Linked DNA regions of Coturnix japonica. The protein of the gene in region 1 interacts with the protein of each later gene in a pairwise test. Links are inferred from orthologs where the notes say so. Each region holds a gene or a part of one and is shown on either strand. Other genes may lie near its edges.

Region 1 (3,805 bases):
ACGCCCTTCCACCAACAAGGCATCTGCACACAAGCACTTGAAAGGCTTTTGTCAAGCACCTACATCCCCCTGAGATGCCCCAAACATGTTACTATTCTGCTATTCTGTTGGCTGCACTCTGATTGAGAGAAATAGGTTTTGCCTGATTGAACATCTCCTTTTTCTTTTGTTGCCCTACTGCAGGTGCAATAGGATATGAGAACTACTACGACAGAGAACCAAACAGAAGCAACAGCCCAACCCAGACCTGTGGGATGATGAAGAGGTAAGTGATGAATTTTCATTCCCAGACGTACTACTTCTCAGTGTATGATGATGGCACAGGGGTTGGAACTAGATGATCTTTAAGATCCCTTTCAACCTAAGCCATTCTGTGAGTCTATGTTTCTGTGACAGTAAACGGGACCTGGATAGTTACTTCTTCTTTCACTGTAGCAAGAGACAGCTGCATAGAAATAAAACTAACTCGAGAGAAGAAGTAAACCCATTAAAGCTGGAGTCAGAGCCATTTTGCCTTGGCCTAGTGGGAAGAGAGACAAGAGGACAAGTTCATAAAACAGTCTGCTGGCAATAGAGAGCATTCACACTTATTTCCTCTTTCCTAGTGAGTCATGGCACACAGCATCAAAAGCACTCTGTGCAAGGGAGGGCAAAGGTGAGCCTTGCTGGGAGCCAGGGCTGGGGAGAGCTGTCCTTTTCAGCAATGCCTCCTGGCTTAGTGCATTGCGATGCCCAGCTGGGAACAACAAAGAGCTGCTGTCTCTTTCTAGACCAAAAGAAAAAATACTTAGTGGAATAACTGTGATGATAAGGGAGGTGCTTTTCTTTTTCTAATCCATTTAAGCTGGTAAATATAGTAATATGAATGCAGTTATATCAGCGGAACAGCACGGTAGAGCTATTGGTTTAAATATTTTATACTAAAATGGCTAATTCATGGCAGAAATGGCATCATATTTAAAAGCAGGAGAGCTTTGTAGTTTGGCAAGTCTTATTTTATGGCAAAGACAAAGAGGGGGCTGAGATCTCCCATTTAAAACGTGGGCCAGGCTTGTTAGCGAGCTGATAAGGTTTATACACAATATTTGGTTCCCTGTTGGAAACAAGATTTTATATAATAATGAATCCTAACATTGCAGCCTCTGCAATTACAGAAGACAATTGTATGGCCATTTAGAATACAGCTGTGCCCAGCAGGAGCAAACAGCCTTCAGAGGCTCAGCCTCAGTTTTTGAGAACTCATTGAGCTTAGAAATCCATTTTCCTGAATCACTGACCATTCACCAGCTGAAAAATCAAACCCTCGATGTACATCTTAAGCACTCCATACTACTGCTACCTACACTTATATCCTAAACCATCTTCTCGCTTGGCCTGGTCACCAGTTCCCAGCCAGAATCCAGCTGTGATATAGAAAACAACTAGGTGAGATTAAAAAATAAATAAATAAAGGAAACAAAAGTATTTCACTTAAATTCACTATTTCTAGAAAGGTATGTTAGAAAGGCTTTGTATTTTGAATTGCATTGGTTTTCCCTAAAGGAATTGTATTCTTTTGTAAACAACTGAGAATTCTCATCGTATCGATAGAATGAGATGATTGGAATTCTGTTTCATGAGTCTCTGGATCCACAACACAATATTGTGTGATGCATTTAGTGCATCAATTTAGCGATGACCAGCAGTTCATCTGGTTCGGTTATTTTCTAAGGTTTTTTTTTTCTTAGATTTTACTTTAACTGAAGGTAAGAGTATCTATAGATAAAGGAAAGCAGATGACCATGGGAAGGGATGACATCCATGTAAGGTCAAGGGGGAAGGTTAAGTCTGACAGCTGAGTCTTGTAAGAAATGCCCTGCTCACTCATTTTGTCATTGACTTCTCTTGGTTCTGCAGATTCTCTGGACTGTTGCATGGAAGCAGCAAAAACAACACTGAAAGCGTCATTCCTTCAGCCCCTCCTTTAGGTATGCCTCACCAGGGAGTAAATTCACCAGATGTGTTTAACATCACTTGCTAAGTCCAGCTTTAACACAGAGCAGAACTACAGCACACGTTCACATGATGTCAGGCAAGAGAACGAGCAGATCGAAAACAAATTCAGCTCAGATTTCCCAGTCTGAAGTACTAAATAATCTATATAACCTTAGGGCCATAAGAACCTCAAGACCTCTATCTGGGTAAGGGCACACTGTGCTTTCAGACCAATGCAGTTTTAGTAAAGATAATAGTATTCTCCTTACGTTGGATATGCTACCTCTAAAAAGCACAAGGGAATCCCTGAAGTCTTTAACACACCTGCCTCATGCCTTATGAATACAAATATTCATCTCATTTCACACTTGGACTGCATTATCACAACCCGTGCACTCAGGCATTTATCAGTAGGGCATTTAAAACAGTATTTTGATCATGCAGAAAGCAGCAGCTTACAGCATTTTTATTGATTTAAACCCGAAACATTTGAACTGAGATTGCTGCCTACAGGAAATCAAAAAGTTCCTTTAAAACAGCTTTTAAACATACTCAGGTCAATTTCCTTTGCAAGGCCTGCCTTGCCTGCTTGGATGCCCAGTAATGAGGCTGCAGCTACCCCACTTGCTGCATTTAGTGCTCAGGAAGCACAGTCTCTCTGGAGCTATCAGGCACCAGCTGGACCTGCCAGGCCCCAGCTGCCTAACTCAGCATGCAGCAGCATCCACATACACACAGCCTGAAGGCATTTGGTCTCTTGCAGAGCTGTGTAACGACTACATACAGGAAAAACTTACCAGAAATAGACAACAATATTACATCAAATGCTGGATTTAACAGCAGATCTCGACTTTATCCAAGTAAACAGCATCTGTGGTGGTACCTTATGCTCAAGCCTGGTATAATAATCTCCCTCTAACTGCAGAAAAAGCCCTGCTGGCTGTCCATCTCTCATTCAGACATAGTGTGGAGCCCAAGTAGACCTTGCTGCTCATTTAGCACACCACAGTCATCACATTTTGGAAACCACTTAAGGCAGTGTTTTCACCTGGGCTGACATACCAGGTTGTGAGCATGTAATTAGAGCCTGCTCTCCCCTTCATCTTTAGCCAGCCCTGAAGGGTTGGACTGCTCACACCACGGCTGCCCTTCTCTTCCCCACACAGCCCCACTGAAAGCAAAGATGTGCTTGGGAAGTACACGAGAGCAGCTCTAGCCTGGACTACTGTGTCAGCACAACAGCATCCACAGCAGCAAGGCTTTGGTACTTCCATTTTACCACCGTGGTTACGCCATGAGCACTAGAACAGCACAAGAGACCCAGGTGGTTCTTTTCAATAGGGCTAGCTCTGTCTCTTCCTGAATCACAGTTTTCCTACATAATGACAAGCCGGTTTAAAATATCCTCCAGCAAAGTCCCATCTGTGACAAACAGCTAAATGGAAACTATGTGAACTAATGGAAAATGTCTGATGACCCACCACACCAGCACGGTATTTTCCACTTTTCTTAAAGGAAAAACCTCTGCATGAATCACTGAACTGCCAGAATCTCACATCTCCAGTAGCAAACAGTTTACACCAGTTTACTCACAGTACTTCCTTCTCTGCACTTCTGTGGTCGTGCTTTAGCAGGGTAAACATCTTTCCCAACCTGGATGAAGCTAATGCTCCTGACTTCCCAGAAAGCTCAATGGGGGCACTGTCCCCCAATCAATGGGACACAGTTTTTGTGCAAGAATTTACCTACAGTTCACAGCAGCTTTTCTATACACGTACACCTCCAGACAGAGAGAGAACAGAGACCCTTGTATTTGTGAACTCTTGCGTAA
Region 2 (4,453 bases), on another chromosome or scaffold:
TTAATGCACAACCACTGACCTGATTCTCTAGTTTCAGCTGTCGTAGTTTCATGCCTTCATCCTCAAAGATGCTGGAAAAGGCAAGAGACAAAAAATTATTACCAGAAATTAGTTTGCATTATATAAAAACACGACATCCACAGACTGCAACATAGTTGTCAAGGCTCCAACTGTAAAACACTATTTCTAGCCCATGGGAAGACCAAGTAATAAGGCATTATGAAAGAAACATACTTCATTTTCTGTCACAAACAGGACCGGTGATTCAGTCACTGAACTAAAATTCTCTGAAAACATTTTGTAAGCAAAAAGCTTTCATTACTCAAAGGCTTTTGCTACAAATTATGATGTATTATTATTATTAGCCAATGCTGTGGCCACTATTGGGCCCCCAGGAAAATATGCAAGTCCAGCAAAGGGTCACAGAGATTACTGAGCGACTGGAGCATCTCTCATATGAGTTCAGAGAGCTGAGAGTGGTAAGATCTTCATGGAACCATCTCTGCTGCAGGCTGAACAAGGTATATAAACACCCCATGACAAGGCATAAAGATGGAACCACTAGTGCCTACTGTCAGAAAGAGAGACAGCGGGCACAGTTTAAAACATAAAAAAAACACAAGAAAATGCTTTTTTATTGTGGGTCAGTCAACATTGGAACAAACTGCATATCAAGGCTGTGGAATAACCTTTTGTAGAGATACTCAACAACTGAGCAGACATCCCCCTATGCAACCTGTTCCAGCTGACCCTATGGAGCAGCAGGGTTGGACGAGATGATGTCCAGAGGCTCCTTCAAACCTTTGCTGTCTCTGTGATTGTGCCTGTTTGGGTTCTGGAGACCACAAGATAAACAGAAATTAAACCAGTTAAATGGCACAAAATCACTAACTCAGGTAGACAGCAAAACTTCTATGAAGTTTATCGCTCTTCATGCCGAACTGCACTTGTTTTTATAGTATGTCTAACTAAAAATGAAGGAAATAAATGAAAAAATATATATGAATTAACATTCTAGAGCTCAGTGTGGAGTTTCAGTTTCAGTCTATATCCAGCTTTTTTTGTTTTGTTTTTTAGAAGTTTGAATGGGAAGCTATTGATAAGAATGAAACAGCAAAATGTGATTTCCATCCTGAACTAGGATATGCAGTTAGTAAATCCAGATTCTTGTTCTATTTTTGCCTGGAATTTCACATAAGAATATTTAATGGGAATGGGGAGTATGAACGATGAGACACAAGCTTTTGGATGACATCCCATCGATTTTATGTTTTAAACAACAGAAGTATGGATAAAAGTTCTTGCAGTGGACTAAGAAAACACTTCTAGGCATGTCAGCAAATGCATTCACAGGAGCATTCATACCATGACCCAATTACAACACAATCAACAATATAACTGTGTAGACTGTCCAACTGTGTCCCATTGAGAGACTGAAGCAATCCCAGTCCAAGTCTACCAACAGAGAGCTTTCTCATACTATAAAGACATCAAACAATACAATATCCAGGAGTGGAAGGGAACCGTGGGGATAACTGACTATGACCCAATACCACAAACCAATTGAACTCTGCTGCCCATCATACACCACTATCCAACACTTTTAATGTCAGACTGTCCCAAATGAAAAGGAAACACGTAGCATTTATCAAAGTAATGAAATAACACTATAAACATAATGATGCACCTTAGTGCTTAAAGAAAATCTAGATGAATGTCAGACTTCAATATGATCTCAAGCTACTTTAATTACAGCCATCGTAAATGAAAGATAACATTGGCAGAGAAGAAGTTAATACAACACCACAGTATTAGAGCCTACTTAGAAATGGCCTTAACCCAAAATCTCACCTGCCTGTCCATCAAATAAAATTATTTATGTCTCAATATCTATTACATATCGCTGAATAGCAAGAAAATTTCATTTCAGAAAGAAAAAATACATATATACTGACCATCTGATTCTCACATATAGCTTTCTTAAGACTCTACAAATGGTCTTAAGAATCTACTTAATGGTCTTAAAAATCTACTTAGGAATTACGTACATTTATTCAGGTTTGTGCATTTTAGTATTCTTACATTCATCACTGCAACCAAGAAACGTTACACAATTCTTTGTTTCTCTCTTTACTGGCATTCCCATCACGTACCCTCTGATGCTTGGATAGAAAACAGTTCTTTTCCTGCATTTCCAAAATCATTCATCACATTAATCACCAAAATCTCTCTTCACTGTACATCACACTGAATTCTCAGTCATTTGTGGTTTCAGCTATTCAAACCCACGGGCAGAATCTCTTCCCAAAATCTCTCTCCCAAACTTAACGTGCTTTTCCCATTACGTCAGTTAAGTTCCCATCAGTTGCGTTCCCCCCACCCCCCACATGCAGTGGCCTAAGAGCTCGCTACCGTTTTCACATCCCAAATGCTTAATTATGATTAGAAGCACGAGGTAACACACAAAAAAAGCCTCCACAGTCGTTTCGCTCCCGAAGACGCTGCTTCAATCAAAGTCTGGAACCGTGGTAGGGAAACCGAGGCTCAGGGTCAGCCTGAGGAGGGACTCGCCGCAAATCGCTTCGCAACCTCCCTGCCCCGCTGGGCCCCACTCACCTGCCCCCACCGATCGCGCATCGGCTCCTGGCACCCTCCATCTTCAGCCCCGCCTTTACTACGGGACCTGGTTTCGATCTCACCGCTACCCTTGGAGACGGAACTCGTAACTCCGGCCCTGCGCCATTGGCCCAAGCGGGCCGCTGCTCCCCTCAGCTGAGAACTCGAGCCGAACATGCGCATAGAGGCAGCCAGGTCAGCGCCGAGCCCCGCCTCCACAGTTATCATGGCGGGTGGATGTGGAGGCTTATTGCACTTACCGCCCTCCCACAGCCCCTGCGAGGAAGCTCAGTCAAAAGTAAAATCACACCACTCCCCCCCTGAGAATAAAGTGCATCCTACGCGTCGCTACCACTTCCCAATAGAACTAAGATGCCCCAGCACAATGTATGGCTTCGTTTATTACCCCTCTTTGCTCTTTTCAAGGACTTTCTGTGTTTGTATTAGACCATATTTATATTGTGTGTGAAATGGCTGTTTTGCCAAACCAAAAGTCAGCCTGGCTTCTTGAGTTCAAGGTCTGCCTTCACCAGTATGTCAGCAGTGCTCAGCTTCCCTCTGTCTCTCAGGTACTTAAGGAGATGAGGCCGATGTCTCCAGGTCACCTTTATTCCATAGTCACGCTCAGGAGTATCCGTAACCAGTGTTGCTGCCAATTGCTCGCTCCCACAGTGGTTGACACTGGACACCAACTCAGCACAACTACTGCTTTGTGGCAGAACGCTGCTACCTGTCCAGTTCTTTAAAGAAGGCAACTGTGGCATCCCCATATCTAGTGGACTGAAGACTTCTGGCTCTGTAGGCTGAGAAACAGGTAATGATGGTGTTTCACTATAGTTCTCAGTACCATTCACCTGGATGTTGGCTTTTGATCCTATCCCTTTCTTGCACTGGCCGTGAGAATGCTGTGTGTTCTTTCCTGCGTGACTCAGCACATCCGTGGAGCGGACTGCACGTTCTTCTGAATTCTCAAAATTTAAAGGAGGAAATTTGCAGGCCACAGATCTCCGACAAGCTCTCTCTGCATGAAGCAAGCCAGAGCTGGCATCCTGATTCTGAGGCTTGTGAGAACCACGTTGCTTCTTCTGACACACTCTCAGAACCAATGACTTAGTTGTTTCAAATTGGGGGCACACCTGAAGACATAAGAAGAAAAAAAAAAAAACAAAAAACCAAAATGGTATTTTTCTCCAGAGGAACACCAACCTTATTCTACTCCCCCACCCATCCCATCTTTCCTCAGTGTGTTGATTAAATGGGTAAGCTGGCCTGCAGCAAAGCAAACTAGTTGTTATCCAAGCTGGTAAGCAGGAAACACCTCTGAACTTCAAAGTTCTGTTCTATCACTTTGATAAGCGAGTGGAGTACAAGTGAACTATTATGGCCCAAATATTCCTGAGCAACTATAGCTACAAATGGGAGTAATATGAAGATAATGTTCATTAGGCCTTCAAAATATTCCCCCAAAACATGCTTTCCTCAAACAGTTACTCTACAACACAAAGATTAACAGATGACCACAAAGTCAATTCTACTAAAATCAGCTTTCTGTCAAAGCTCAATAACCTATACTTCATTGAAAGACTTTGGGCACTTACTCAAGACTTGCAAATCCTTCTTTTTACAGTAGTCTTTATCTTCTGGGGTTTCAAAAGTCAGTCAAAACAGTCCTAGAGCATCCCAACCTGGATATCATTATGACAACCACAAACCCCTTTTAGCCTTCTCAGGTTTCTACACATTCCCTCAAAAACTAAGTGCAAGCTAATTATGGGTACTGACTATATACTGTACACCTGAACTGACTGAACCAAAGCCATTCTTTAGACAATCATGG
Region 3 (3,805 bases), on another chromosome or scaffold:
TTGTTTTGAGTGGCCTTTAGAGACAAATAATTTTAACAGAGCTGCAAGAATTTGGCTTTACATGTTAATATAACATAATGACTTTGTACAAGTAGAAGTATTCATTTATGCTTCTTCTCCAATAAAGTAGTACAAACAGGTTGCCATAAAAAAAGTTACAAAATATTTACTGTACTATTTAGTTTGCAGTTCTAGCTTAATACTTTCAAATAGCAGAAATACAGATCACAGTATAGTGCGGGTTGGAAGGGACCTTAAAAGATCATCGAGTCCAACCCCCGGGATTCGAGCCTCCTGTGTAGCAGAGCAGCACTTCTAACACTTGCACCACAGGGGGGGGATTCGAACCCAGGCCTCCGGTGTTGCAACGCAGCATTCCTACCACTGCGCCACTGTCACTGGCAAGTATGTAGCAGGTTTGCCTATTTTAGTATTTCAGAAACAAACAAACAAAAAAATCTTACTTTTCAAAGTAGAAAACCAATAATTTTCACTTATTCTACTCCAATGGTGCTGAAATCAGCAGGTGGAGACAACTCTGCCCATTACAAGAGGACTGGAACTAAATTATCTTTAAGATCCCTTCCAACCCAAGCCAGTGACTCTAGGAGAGAAAAAAAAAAAAACCTCATACCTTTTCTTTGCAGCTGGAAAGCATGCTAATAATGCTAAGACAAACAGATTGCACTGAGAGAGCTGGAGACCAGTCTTCTGTTAGAATGGACAAACAGATATGACCATTGCTATAAACATGTGGATGAACAGGAATATTGTCACCAGTAAACATGACCTAAAAAAAAAGAAAAAACCACCAAAATGTAATCTATTGTTCAACTTTTAAATAAAAACTATGCAGATTTTGTAAAAAAAAAAAAAATAAATAAAAAAGCAGGTTCTGACATTATCATTTACAAGAAATAACATAATATACCATATTACATTCATTCATTTTTTGAGCTGTTAGTCAAAATGTAAAATGAAATGACAAAAGCCTTGTGAAGGTGAAGTAGCACAAATGGCCAAATGCAGTTTTTTTCCTGTGAATAGTTACAAAACACAAAGAACATAAAAGCAACAGATGTAGCAAACTCTTAAATCTTGCATCTTCAGTTTTTTTAAAACATCCTATTTACATCCTACAGCTGCCTATTAGGAAGGTTAGATTCACAAATTAGTATTTCTTTGGACACAATAGGATATAAATTCTAGACAACTCAAGAAGAGTTAAACACACTAATCCTATTAACTAGAACATAAAGGACTCTTACAACCATACTGCATTATCACATTGGAAATATTTTAAATTGTTATTTAAGTGGAATTTTCTTTTAACAGAAGCAAACAACAGAGAACAGCACTGAGAATCTCAACTTCTCTCTATTAAAAAATAAAGGTTAGAAAATCAATTTTGACAATTACTGCTCTTACAATAAGTTTGACAAAAACGTAAGGTCAGCTCAGGACCAATGAAAAGGGAGTAAAAACCAAAATCCTCACAGCAGCATTATCCTCCTGAGCTCCTTATTCAACATAAGCACCGTAATCTTTTATAAAATGACATAATAAATCTCTACCACTCAAATCACAACATCTTCTTAAGATTTTCTCAGTTCAGGTACGTGTACACACACCTCACCTCATTACTGACTACCAGAAAGAAGTTTCAGCTTCATCACAAATGAGGTGAGAAAGCTCAAGCTACTTTCCAAATGGCATGCAATTTTTTTAATGACAGCAGAGAAAAGTGGATGCAGAATGATCTTTGTCTGGTATTTCTTACGCACTGAAAAGCTTACCTCTGTAACTTAGTATTTAATTTCTAACTAATGTTTCCATTATACAAGAAAACCAGGACTAGTTAAGCATGCATGCTTAACAGACAACACTCAAGGCAGAAAACAATCAAGTGATTGAACAGGAGAAACAAATTGTCAATTCAGAGGAAGTAGATTTATAGGAGAAAGAATTACAAATCAAGAGCTTTAAAGCAGAGAATTATTGTACAGCAGCATGATAAAAAATTTTAGCCACAACAAGAACTAAATATCCAGTGCTTTAATTCTTAACTGCCTTTTATGCTTGCAAGGAAATAAATACATTTGTCTTTGTGTACTGATTTAGATTGCTGTTTTACAATAATTTTTACACAGTCACATGCGCATGTTAGATAAAGAGTACAAACAGTACCCACTTGGAATCAAAACAAAGTGGGTCTTATGGATCACCTATGAGAAGCTTACTGCAAACCTGATAAAATGCAGATGGGAATGGAATGTGCCAGTTTGTTCCTTAAAACCTGAGACTGAAGAACAAGCATTTCTAGTTTTCACCTTAATCCTTACAGATACATATTTTTACAGTTTATGTGACTGCCGCAGCTCACTCCTTGCTGGAGCTTCAACAGCCATGAGAAAAGCAGAGATGACTCTTCAAACTTTGAGCTGAAACAGGGCCAGAACTAAAGCACTCTTGTTTCTTCTTTCTTTCATTTTCAGGAGAGCTGAAGGGATAACTTAACACCTGCTTTCCTCCTCCAAGCCTAACTTCTCTCAGGTAATGGACAGATGGATGTACAGAGCTCATTCCACACCCTAGTAGTAATGTTGACCCTCCAGTACTTAATGTTGCCATGAAAGCAGTAGCTCACACCTTAATTATAACCACTAGATTTGCAGACCTCTCAGAGATGCCAGGTGTTCATGAGAATTCCTACCACATGAACAGTATTTTGACAGCCATATTAACAATGGCAGTAGAGAAGGTAGAAGAGGTTAAGAAAGGACATAGAAGCTGAAGAGGAGACTAAAGAATTGTTTGTTGTTCACTCGTGTGCAGCAACAAAAGGAACCATCCTACTATTCTGTGTTGTTCTTTCATAGTGTATAAAGAAACCTCAAGAATACACCATTCTTTCATCTTCCATGAAATTAAGTGGACTGTAGTAGGCACTACATCTCACTTGTTTCAATTTATGTTAAACATATTGTGCAGGTGTGCTTTTTCTAGAGACAACTAAACCTCACCTTAGGATATACAAATGGCATTAGTATTCAGCATGTACCACACAATTATTACTTAGAGACAGAATTAAGTAGGAAGGAGGAAAGCAGATACCTGAGGCGAATCAAAAGGATATCGGCTACTGAACTTAAATAGAAGCTGAAATTTCTCCCCTTCATATAGCGTTCCTGGAGCACCTTCCATGTCTACAATCCACCTAAGAATGGAGAAACAAAATAGTATTATGGACTAAAAGATGATTATTTTACTTCTTGAGCACAGGACAAATAAAATCAACTGCCATGCAGCCAATCTTCCAAACTCTCCATTAGCAAAGCTATTACAGAAGTGAATAATGCATCAAGCCCACATTTGAAAGAAACAAGCTTGGTATTTCATATACAGACACTGCCATAGCACTGCAAATTATTATGACTTGAACTCATCACAGACTCATCAATTCCCTGTTATGTGAGACACAGCTGACATAGAAGACTTCCAAAGACTATTCTTATACAAAAATAGGCTTGGAATAAAATAGAGTAGCAGGCATTCTCCTTCCACGTTTCTATTTTTCTGGCAAGGAAATCATCAATACAGTTCATTAAAATAAAATCTGCATCCCCAGGGAGAGAAGGAATGATGTTCCTGCACTTACATCTGTGAAGAAGTCAGAAGCAAAATGCTACATAATCTGTCACACAAGGAAACCGCAGAAATGTAAAGGTTCAGCATAAAAAATGAAAAGGTCATAGAAAAACAAAAATAGAAAATGGATGACTTGCAACTGTAAACAGAACTTTTC
Region 4 (3,805 bases), on another chromosome or scaffold:
AGGAACATTCTTGCCTCATTTTGTGCAAACTTTCCATGCTCAAACAATTTCCAAAAAGCAGTAAGATTTTCAAAGCACTGCTCAGTTCATTGGTTAAAATCATTACTGAAGCAGAACTTGGATTAATTTCACATGAACAGGATTGTGTCTTCCAGGTCATATACAGAAGAGGAAGAAAGAGGAGCAACTTCCAAGAGTGCTGCAGTGGAACAAATTGCATCTACATTTTTAAGATCAGCACGTCAACCATTAAGCATTAATTTCTCCAGGAACATCGCATACACCAAATCACCCAGACTTCAGCTACCCAAAGCCATTTAAACTCACACTGAAAAGTCTGTGCAGCAAAGAAACCAGCCCCATTCTACAGATGTAACCAGGATCACACTAACACATACCTTTGCCATCTTCAGAACCCGTTACAGCAGCTAAGTCTTGCCTAGCAATTGACATTGGCAATACTTTTCTGGCAGAAATGTTTTCGGTAGTAGTGGCAGCAGAAACAGTGGCACTTGCGGTTGAAATATTAGATGCACTTCTGCTCATGGCTCCATCAAAGTTCATTTCATCTGTGTCAGAATCATCTGAATGAAGAGGATTAGTAAAACAGAGGGGTGCTCGAAAAGAAATAGCAGTATGGTCACCTTTATCACTGGAAGGAAGTTCAACTGTGGTGTTCGATACTAGAGACAGAGCATTAACCCCACGACATAAGACGTCTGAAGACACGTCCTCAGGCACTGACGCACGCAGTGCATTTTCAGGCCCGTGCAGTGACCACCTGGCATGTCCCTTTTCTGTTAGAGGCAGACGATCTGGTCTTGGTGGGGTATCAGAAACCTGTTGGCCCTGTGGACTTTCTGGTGAAGGTATTAAGGCTGTGTTAGACTGTGGCACACTGCATTCCATACACGAGTTTTTAGAAGCATCCACAAATGAATCCCCTGAAGTCTGCTCCTGTGACTTAAAGTTCTTATCAATTACAGAGGATGATGCGGGCTTAACTTTAATTGCATGTCCCCTGTTCAACAGGGAGTTTCCATCAAAGCTTCGTGGGCCTTCCTGAAGAGGTACTTTCCTGATTTCAAAGCTCAAGTTGCGCTCCAGCCTTTTCTCCATACGTTCACTGGGTTCACTCTTTCCTGAAAGTTCCGTGGTTTTATTGTAATTCTCATTGAGGTCTGTTGAATGCTCTGATGAAACCATGTGCAAAACTGGCTTTGGATGGTATCTGTCATTGTCCTGCCACACTGTAGTGACTGTTGGATAAGCTGATGGAGGAGATGGTGTTAAGATTGGCGGTACTGGCTGAGGCTCCGGAGGTTGCAATATTTCTTCTTTAGCATCTCCTTCTACAAGGCAACTGCAAGAAACAATGATGTAAGTTTTCTGTATTTTGATAACATTTTAGATAACCTGTCTCCGCTGTAGTAATACTCTGACACCGATACTGAACTCCAAGAAGCACTTCCACTGCATACAAATGACATTTATAAAATATGACTAATGGAACCGGCAAGAATTATGTCAACACACACTAAAAGTTTTTCAGTATCACAGGGGTATAAATTCAAGCCAAAGCTAATCCTCACTGATGCTTTAAGGATTGCTCACATCCTTTCCCAGCAGCATTCCTTCACAGATGTCTGCCAGGCCCTCTTGCGGCAGCATTCCAGTACTCTTGGCTTTCTTCTTATTTAAGAAGTAGCTCAAAGGAATTCGGCATTTGGAATACAATTTTCAACAGAGCTAGGAAATAAATTCTTTTAAAAGGCCTTATATGAACTAGAATACAGCTCGTCCGATACCAAACATCTTTCTTATTTTCCTTCACATGTCCAGAAGGATTTCACTATATTTGTGTATTTGTTTCACCATAGATTTAAGGCTAACAGCATAGATCAAATTTAACTGACATGAGATAAACACTATAAAACATTCACAGTAGAGTAGGATTCAATTTACAGTGCATATTAGCAAGATCACTGGCAATTATTGCAGCTCGTTTTCAGCTTCTTCAAAGAAGCTCTACAGGCATACGGTCAATTGACTTTCACATTAAATACAGAATATTAACTATCAATTATTTTGCACAACTAAGATCCTGTCCACAAATAGGAATCTTTTTCACTTCAGAGCCTTTAAAAATATTTCCTTTCATCACATAAGGTGATGCGCTGATGTGCAAAGCAAATGAGTGAAAAGAACAGAAATGCAATTTAGTATTTTAAATAAACAACAGCTTTGATTCAAGTACATAAAATCAAAACAAGACCCCAGGCCCCTGTGCTAGACAGGTTGTTCCCAGGGTCTTTACTGACTGGTTCAGGTGGCCCCAGTATCAGAGTAACCTTGAGTAAAGCAACAACCAGCTAAACCCCCATACACCTTAAGATTTTTGGGATAACTGTGTCAGAGGAACTATAAATCATCCAAACCCAGCTCTGCAGCAGGAGACATGGAACATTCTCTTGCAGACAAGGTTATAACAGAACATTGTTTTCTCTTGAAAGTCAGGTTACTGCTAGACCATAGGCTTCCTTCTGTAATCCAATATCCTGAAGAACTGAACCCATTCAAAGAAACCCATCACAGTACTTCTGTGAAATATACTTTTATTAACAATGATAAAGACAAAAAGCAGAGGCTTTCAAAATGGCAAAAACTCATTACTAACTTGCTAGATGACAGCATCTGCAATTGTGGAAACCTGAAAGAGTGTAACATATCTAGCAGACCTGGAAGGTGTGCCAATAACAAATCTCACGCCGTAAGGACCAGCAAGATGATGGGCAGATTACGCAGCCCAGACTTTGTGCATTCAGGCTATTTACATGGAACCGCCCCTCTCAATCACAGAATCACAAAATCATAGGGGTTGGAAGGGACCTCCAGAGATCATTGAGTCCAACCCCCCGTCGATGAAGGATGAGACTTGACATATTTTGTGGAAGAGAAAAATTTCATGATGTGCCATCAGTTAACAAAGAAACCAAGCCTTTGGACTTTGTAAGTGAAGCGTGGTATCCAAATACAGGCTGCCACTCAATTGCCAGGAAACATACAGCTCTACCACTAGATCTCTTCTATATATCTAAACATAGTTATCTTCTATATATCTAGATATCTTCTATAGAGGGAGCTCTGACTGAAGTCTGAAGTCTAACATAAATAAATTTCAGCAACTGCAGGGAAGTTCAAAAAACTCAACTGGATCATCTCAGTCAGGCACTCATGTAAAGCCATCAGAAATAAGATGCATCTTTTTGAAGTTCTTTTTAACCAGACAATAACTTGTACAGAGTGAGACCATCAGAACTGCCCAAATATGGACCAGACCAAGGAAAAGGGCTGCTAGTAACAGTTACATTTGTCTTGTTGATCAAGGCATTCGGGTTTTCTAGTCAAGTCTCCACTTCCCTTTTGTTGCAATCAGACAACCGAAAAAGCTTTCTTTTTCTTTCTCCTCTCACTTGAGAGAAAGCAGGCTAGTGTCAGCTCCATGGGCCAAAGGATATTTACCTCCTGAGTCAAGGTTATTAAGAAAGCATTCATTAAAAAGATAGGTAAAAGGCTTATATGGAAATCACAAGGTAAATGTTAAGTTCACTGTCCTTTCAGCACTGTATTACCCAGTAATTTATGGTGAGGTCTCTTCTCACACTGCTCACATACATCAGTCTATCTTTGTCTGCCAGCAAAACAAGAAGGAAGAATGATTCAGAAATCTTAATGGCAATTTCAGAAAGGTTATTGGAAAGCACAGCAGACAGTGAGAAAACCCCAACAGCTACAAAACTGAACT
Region 5 (4,342 bases), on another chromosome or scaffold:
CTTCTGCTGTTGCATCCCACCACGGCCTCTGCCTTTGGAGACCACCTCTTCTTTCACCATGTCAATTATCTCATCGGGGATCCGAAGGTATTTAATTGTGCTGCCACGGATGTAACACTCTGGCATCCTCCAGAACTTGTCACCATCCTATTGGGAAGCAACGTGTTAAGCTGAGAACAAAACCACGTGCACTTAAGTTGCTTTTTGACACTTGAATATCTCCATCACTTCTGAAGCGTGCGACAGATGTAATAGTCTATTCTGAATGTACAACCCATAATTAGCTGTGAAATTCCTGTTTTCCCTTTAAAACACGCAGCCCTACAACCTGCTGGGGAGTCAGGGGGCGTTCAGCCATGAGCCACTGCAGTTTCAGCCCGTTCACAACCGCCTTTGACTCTCACAGAAAGTGAAGGAAGAAGAGGAAACAGCACCTTCCCTTTGCTTCTCATACAAGAAGAGAATCGAAAGTGGGACTGGAGAGGGAAATGTGGTAAGTTCAACACAGCTGCTGCAACACGGGGCAGTTCCAGCACATAAAGCCCCAACCAGAGTCACCTACAAACTGAACCCCTTTGTGGTGTGGATTGAGCAGCGAGGAGCATCCAGCTGGGTGTGGGGTGAGCCCAGCAGCGCACAGGAACCGCGGCTGTGGAAAATAAGAGCTTACAGATCACGTTCAAAGAAACCTTCGGGTGCCAAGTTACGGAGCAGCTGCCTCTGTGTTTTGTTTAAGGCAGTTTCAGGGCTTTGCTAGGACACAGCCCATCAGGGCTTCAGCTCCTGTGGCTGTGGGAATAGGAACTGCATGTGAAAGTTGAACAACAACTGATGTAAGCGGGAGGAGGGATGGAACCTCGTGCGCACGGCCGTGCTCTGCTGCAGGGCTTGGCTGAACACAGGCTCCTCACAACTATCACACATGGACAGAGTGTCCACAACATCCCAGAGGAGTGGGTGAAACCAGAATGCCTCGTTTCACCTCTCCAGAATCAAGTTGTACCCCCCTCCTCCTCTGCTCCGGTGTTATTTGGGGCAATGCAGCATGCACAGGCAAGTTCCGTGTGTGTGAGACAAGCAGCCTTCTTCAAACAGGCACCCAGCAAACCCCACCCTGCCTGGATCCGCCCGGCTGCACTTTGGCTCTCTATGCAGGAAGGGATGGAGCCAGGTCCCCGGCTTCCTCGTTCCAGCTCCCCATGTAAACAGCTGCCGCAGCTCCATGCCATCTAGTGGCTGATCCCCACCGTGCCACCAGGAAGGCTTCCATATATACCCCCCCAGTAGCACCCAGGGGGTATTTAGGGGTGGGGAGTGAACTGCAGACCACTCGGTGGGTATAAATGCTGAAGTGCTCTGCCCACAGCAACACAAAGCTGCTTAATGAGGAAGCAGTATTAAAGGCCGGCATCCCTTGTTCTGCAAGCACTAGTAAGGCTTTGCCACTTGCCACCCCTTCCCATTGAACTTATCTGTTTATCTGCCCCAACAATCTGTGGATCCAGATTTTTAGGGCTCACTGCTCTGCTGTTATGATCCTTCTTAAACCTTTGCTTTGTTTAAGTACACACATCACATCTCCGTGCCCCAGCACTATTGGCCAATACCTTCCTGCTGTGGGTCCAACAGGCACAGAAACCCTTCCTGAAGAAGAAGGGTTTCCCTGACAGCCTCCCCCACAGACCCGTGATGTTCCCAGGCACAGAGAGCAGCAGCAGCAGCAGGAACGTGGCCAGGCACAGGCTGCCAGGGACAAGACCAGACACTTGAGGCTGAGGTCAGAGCTCAAAGCACAGATCCCAATCTCTTCTCGGAGCACTTTGGCCATGGGCAAAAGTAGCAGACGAGGCACAACCCGGTTAAACAAGAGGCCCTAATAACTTTTGATGTGGAGTTACAGGGCGTGAGGCAGGTGATGATGAAAGGCAGCACTGTGCTCGATGGGGCTGCATGGAGCGGGCAATGGGACAGGACCTGTCACCAGCCCTTCACACTGAGCACCTTCACCCTGCTGTCAATGGGCTCATTCGTTTCTTACACCTCATAACTGCGTTACATTCACATTCAAAGCAAAAGCAACACACACAGAAGGGTGAGGATCTCTGCGAGTCCCACTCAGCTGCAGGGCTGGGGGCTGATAGCAATGTGGGGTCTATGGGCGCAATGGGGGGTCTATGGGCGCAATGGGGGGGGTCTATGGGCGCAATGGGGACAACTCATTCCTGATCTGCTTTGATGCTGTTCAAAGTAGGGGGTCTATGGGCGCAATGGGGGTCCTGGCATTGAGCTGGTTACCCGTGAGGTGCAGATGACCTCCCGCAGGTTGATGTTCATCCAGTTGTCGCAGCTCACCAGGTGCCCGTTGTACGTCTCGCCGTTCTTCAGCTCCACCAGCTGGAAGAAGCAAAGGGGGGGGGTCAGCATGAAGGAACCGGGACCGACGGGGCGGCACGGGGACCCAACGGGACCCGACGGGGCGGCACCGGGCCCATAGGCCGCAGCGGGAGTGGGCCGGGACTCACCATAGGGTGGTTCTGCGCCGTCTTCAGCAACGACAGGGGCAGCTGCGGGGGAAAGAGAGAAAGGCCTCAACAACCGGGAACCGGGACCGCCTCGGATCCCCATGTAGGGGCTCAGGGAGTACCGGGACAACCGAACCGGCCCGGCCCGGCCCATTCCCGCACTCACCATCGTGCCGGAACCGCGGAGCCGCCGCCGCGCCGGGCGCTGCCGCTCAAACCACCCCCGGCCCCACACGGGACCAATCAGAGCTCGGCGCGGTCCTCGCGGAGCCAATCAGCGTGCAGGACCCGCCTCGGCCGTAAAGCATCGCCGAGGTTGGCGGTGCACAGCGTCACGACAGTGCCGTAAATTGAAACGCCGAGCGGGAAGCGGCACGGAGCGGCGCTCAGGAGGCGCTCTAGGCAGCGAGGCGGCGCGCACTCTATGGTCGCGCGGGGCCGCTCTGGTCCTCGGGGCGGCGCGTATTCTATGGCCGCGCGGGGCCGCTCTGGGCGTCGGGGCGGAGCGCGCTCTATGACCGTGCGGGGCCGGTCGCTCAGTGCGGTGCGGGAGCGGAGATGGAGAAACCGCGGAGGGCGGTGGTGGTAACGGGTACGGGCGGATGGAACGAGACCGGGGGGTGGGGAGGGGACGGCAGGGTGGGCTCTGATTCCATTATCTCAACGGGGGGGATGCGGGATTGGGAGGGGGCGGTGAGGGGCACATGGGGGTGTCGGGGTCCTGGTGGGGGTGTACGGGGATTGGGAGGGGCGCGACGGGGCTGCGGCGTGTCACAGACCCCTCCGGTTATACCCCCCCCCCCCGGTCCCCGCTGTATTTGTCCCATCTCTTGCCCCGGGGGGGTTGGGGGGTGGTCTCTGCTTCAAACATTCAGAGCTGATGGTGCTGGATCTGCCCCTGATGGTCGCACTGAGACCCCATTGCAACCCCATGAAGGTCTGCAGGGTGGGCTCAGTGCTGTGTGCCCGGCAGGACCCTGTGCTGGGTGTGGGGTGGCTGAGGCTGGGTTTGGTGCTACCCATAAAGTTGCTCATCTGATATGCAAGGAATCGATCTGGGGGTCGGTGTGGAGGATGAGTGAGGGGGCAGCTCAGTTGGGTTCAGAACGAGAGGTTTTGGTTACATTGGGGTACCTGGAAAGCTGGTGTGATTCATATTGAAACCATCCCAATGAAACACCTGTTTGGTGCTCTCACATCTATAGCTTATATATGGAGAAACAACAAGTGCATTAGGATCCTGTGGGAGCCTTCAGGAGGGTTATTATGGGGAGATATTGATGCTGGTTCCGCTTGGAGGCTCAGGTTGATACTGAGATCCCATTGAGCTGTACAAAGCCCTGTTGCTGTTGTGTGCGGTGTAACCTCAGCCCTCCCCTTCTGCTGGCAGCACATGGGAGGTTTCCATTAGTGTGTCATGTAATATTTGTGGTCCTGACTTAGATGCAGTGCGTGCCTTCTGATTGCATTAGGCTCACAGGGTAGCTCTGCCATCTGAAATTAAAGCATATCGATCCCACGCCCAGATAAATGCCCAACCTTTGTGTGCTCGCTCAGGGAAAGATGTGATGGGTTACTAGTTAACTCCGAGTTACTCATTAGGAAATGCAGATTTGGGGACGTAAGTGTTTTTATAGCGTTGTGTAACCTTTGGTGCTCGGTGCAGGTGGGTCAGCAGTGCTTTGTTTGGTTCCTATTAAGGCAGAAGGGATTTTGGTGAAGGTGTGAGCAGAGAAATGCTGGATGGAGACTTGTCTGTGTTTGTGGGCTGTTACAATCAGGGTTAGAAGATCCAATCATGATCCCCATTCTATGCCATC

What was found.
Region 2: the proteins of PSTPIP1 (region 1) and TULP3 interact in binary tests that used the Homo sapiens proteins (3 or more experiments, as listed by UniProt). The two-hybrid records come from large-scale screens. The link is inferred for Coturnix japonica from reciprocal best matches to the Homo sapiens genes PSTPIP1 and TULP3.
Region 3: the proteins of PSTPIP1 (region 1) and UBE2W interact in binary tests that used the Homo sapiens proteins (3 or more experiments, as listed by UniProt). The two-hybrid records come from large-scale screens. The link is inferred for Coturnix japonica from reciprocal best matches to the Homo sapiens genes PSTPIP1 and UBE2W.
Region 4: the proteins of PSTPIP1 (region 1) and PTPN12 interact in binary tests that used the Homo sapiens proteins (3 or more experiments, as listed by UniProt). The link is inferred for Coturnix japonica from reciprocal best matches to the Homo sapiens genes PSTPIP1 and PTPN12.
Region 5: the proteins of PSTPIP1 (region 1) and LSM4 interact in binary tests that used the Homo sapiens proteins (3 or more experiments, as listed by UniProt). The two-hybrid records come from large-scale screens. The link is inferred for Coturnix japonica from reciprocal best matches to the Homo sapiens genes PSTPIP1 and LSM4.

What each region holds. Positions count from the first base shown.
Region 1 is NC_029525.1:2,414,332-2,418,136, reverse strand, and holds part of PSTPIP1 (proline-serine-threonine phosphatase-interacting protein 1), read left to right. Parts: intron 1-183; coding exon 184-265; intron 266-1,896; coding exon 1,897-1,967; intron 1,968-3,805. UniProt on the Homo sapiens protein: Involved in regulation of the actin cytoskeleton. May regulate WAS actin-bundling activity. Bridges the interaction between ABL1 and PTPN18 leading to ABL1 dephosphorylation.
Region 2 is NC_029516.1:68,389,460-68,393,912, forward strand, and holds the start of TULP3 (tubby-related protein 3), read right to left. Parts: upstream 2,876-4,453; 5' UTR 2,658-2,875; coding exon 2,617-2,657; intron 72-2,616; coding exon 20-71; intron 1-19. Other genes in the region: RHNO1 (RAD9, HUS1, RAD1-interacting nuclear orphan protein 1), read right to left, coding at 3,111-3,752. UniProt on the Homo sapiens protein: Negative regulator of the Shh signaling transduction pathway: recruited to primary cilia via association with the IFT complex A (IFT-A) and is required for recruitment of G protein-coupled receptor GPR161 to cilia, a promoter of PKA-dependent basal repression machinery in Shh signaling.
Region 3 is NC_029517.1:106,928,285-106,932,089, forward strand, and holds part of UBE2W (ubiquitin-conjugating enzyme E2 W), read right to left. Parts: intron 3,218-3,805; coding exon 3,115-3,217; intron 791-3,114; coding exon 635-790; intron 1-634. UniProt on the Homo sapiens protein: Accepts ubiquitin from the E1 complex and catalyzes its covalent attachment to other proteins.
Region 4 is NC_029516.1:11,319,820-11,323,624, forward strand, and holds part of PTPN12 (tyrosine-protein phosphatase non-receptor type 12), read right to left. Parts: intron 1,364-3,805; coding exon 399-1,363; intron 1-398. UniProt on the Homo sapiens protein: Dephosphorylates a range of proteins, and thereby regulates cellular signaling cascades. Dephosphorylates cellular tyrosine kinases, such as ERBB2 and PTK2B/PYK2, and thereby regulates signaling via ERBB2 and PTK2B/PYK2.
Region 5 is NC_029543.1:3,005,651-3,009,992, reverse strand, and holds the start of LSM4 (U6 snRNA-associated Sm-like protein LSm4), read right to left. Parts: upstream 2,807-4,342; 5' UTR 2,692-2,806; coding exon 2,689-2,691; intron 2,565-2,688; coding exon 2,523-2,564; intron 2,395-2,522; coding exon 2,296-2,394; intron 148-2,295; coding exon 1-147. Other genes in the region: PGPEP1 (pyroglutamyl-peptidase 1), read left to right, coding at 3,081-3,114. UniProt on the Homo sapiens protein: Plays a role in pre-mRNA splicing as component of the U4/U6-U5 tri-snRNP complex that is involved in spliceosome assembly, and as component of the precatalytic spliceosome (spliceosome B complex).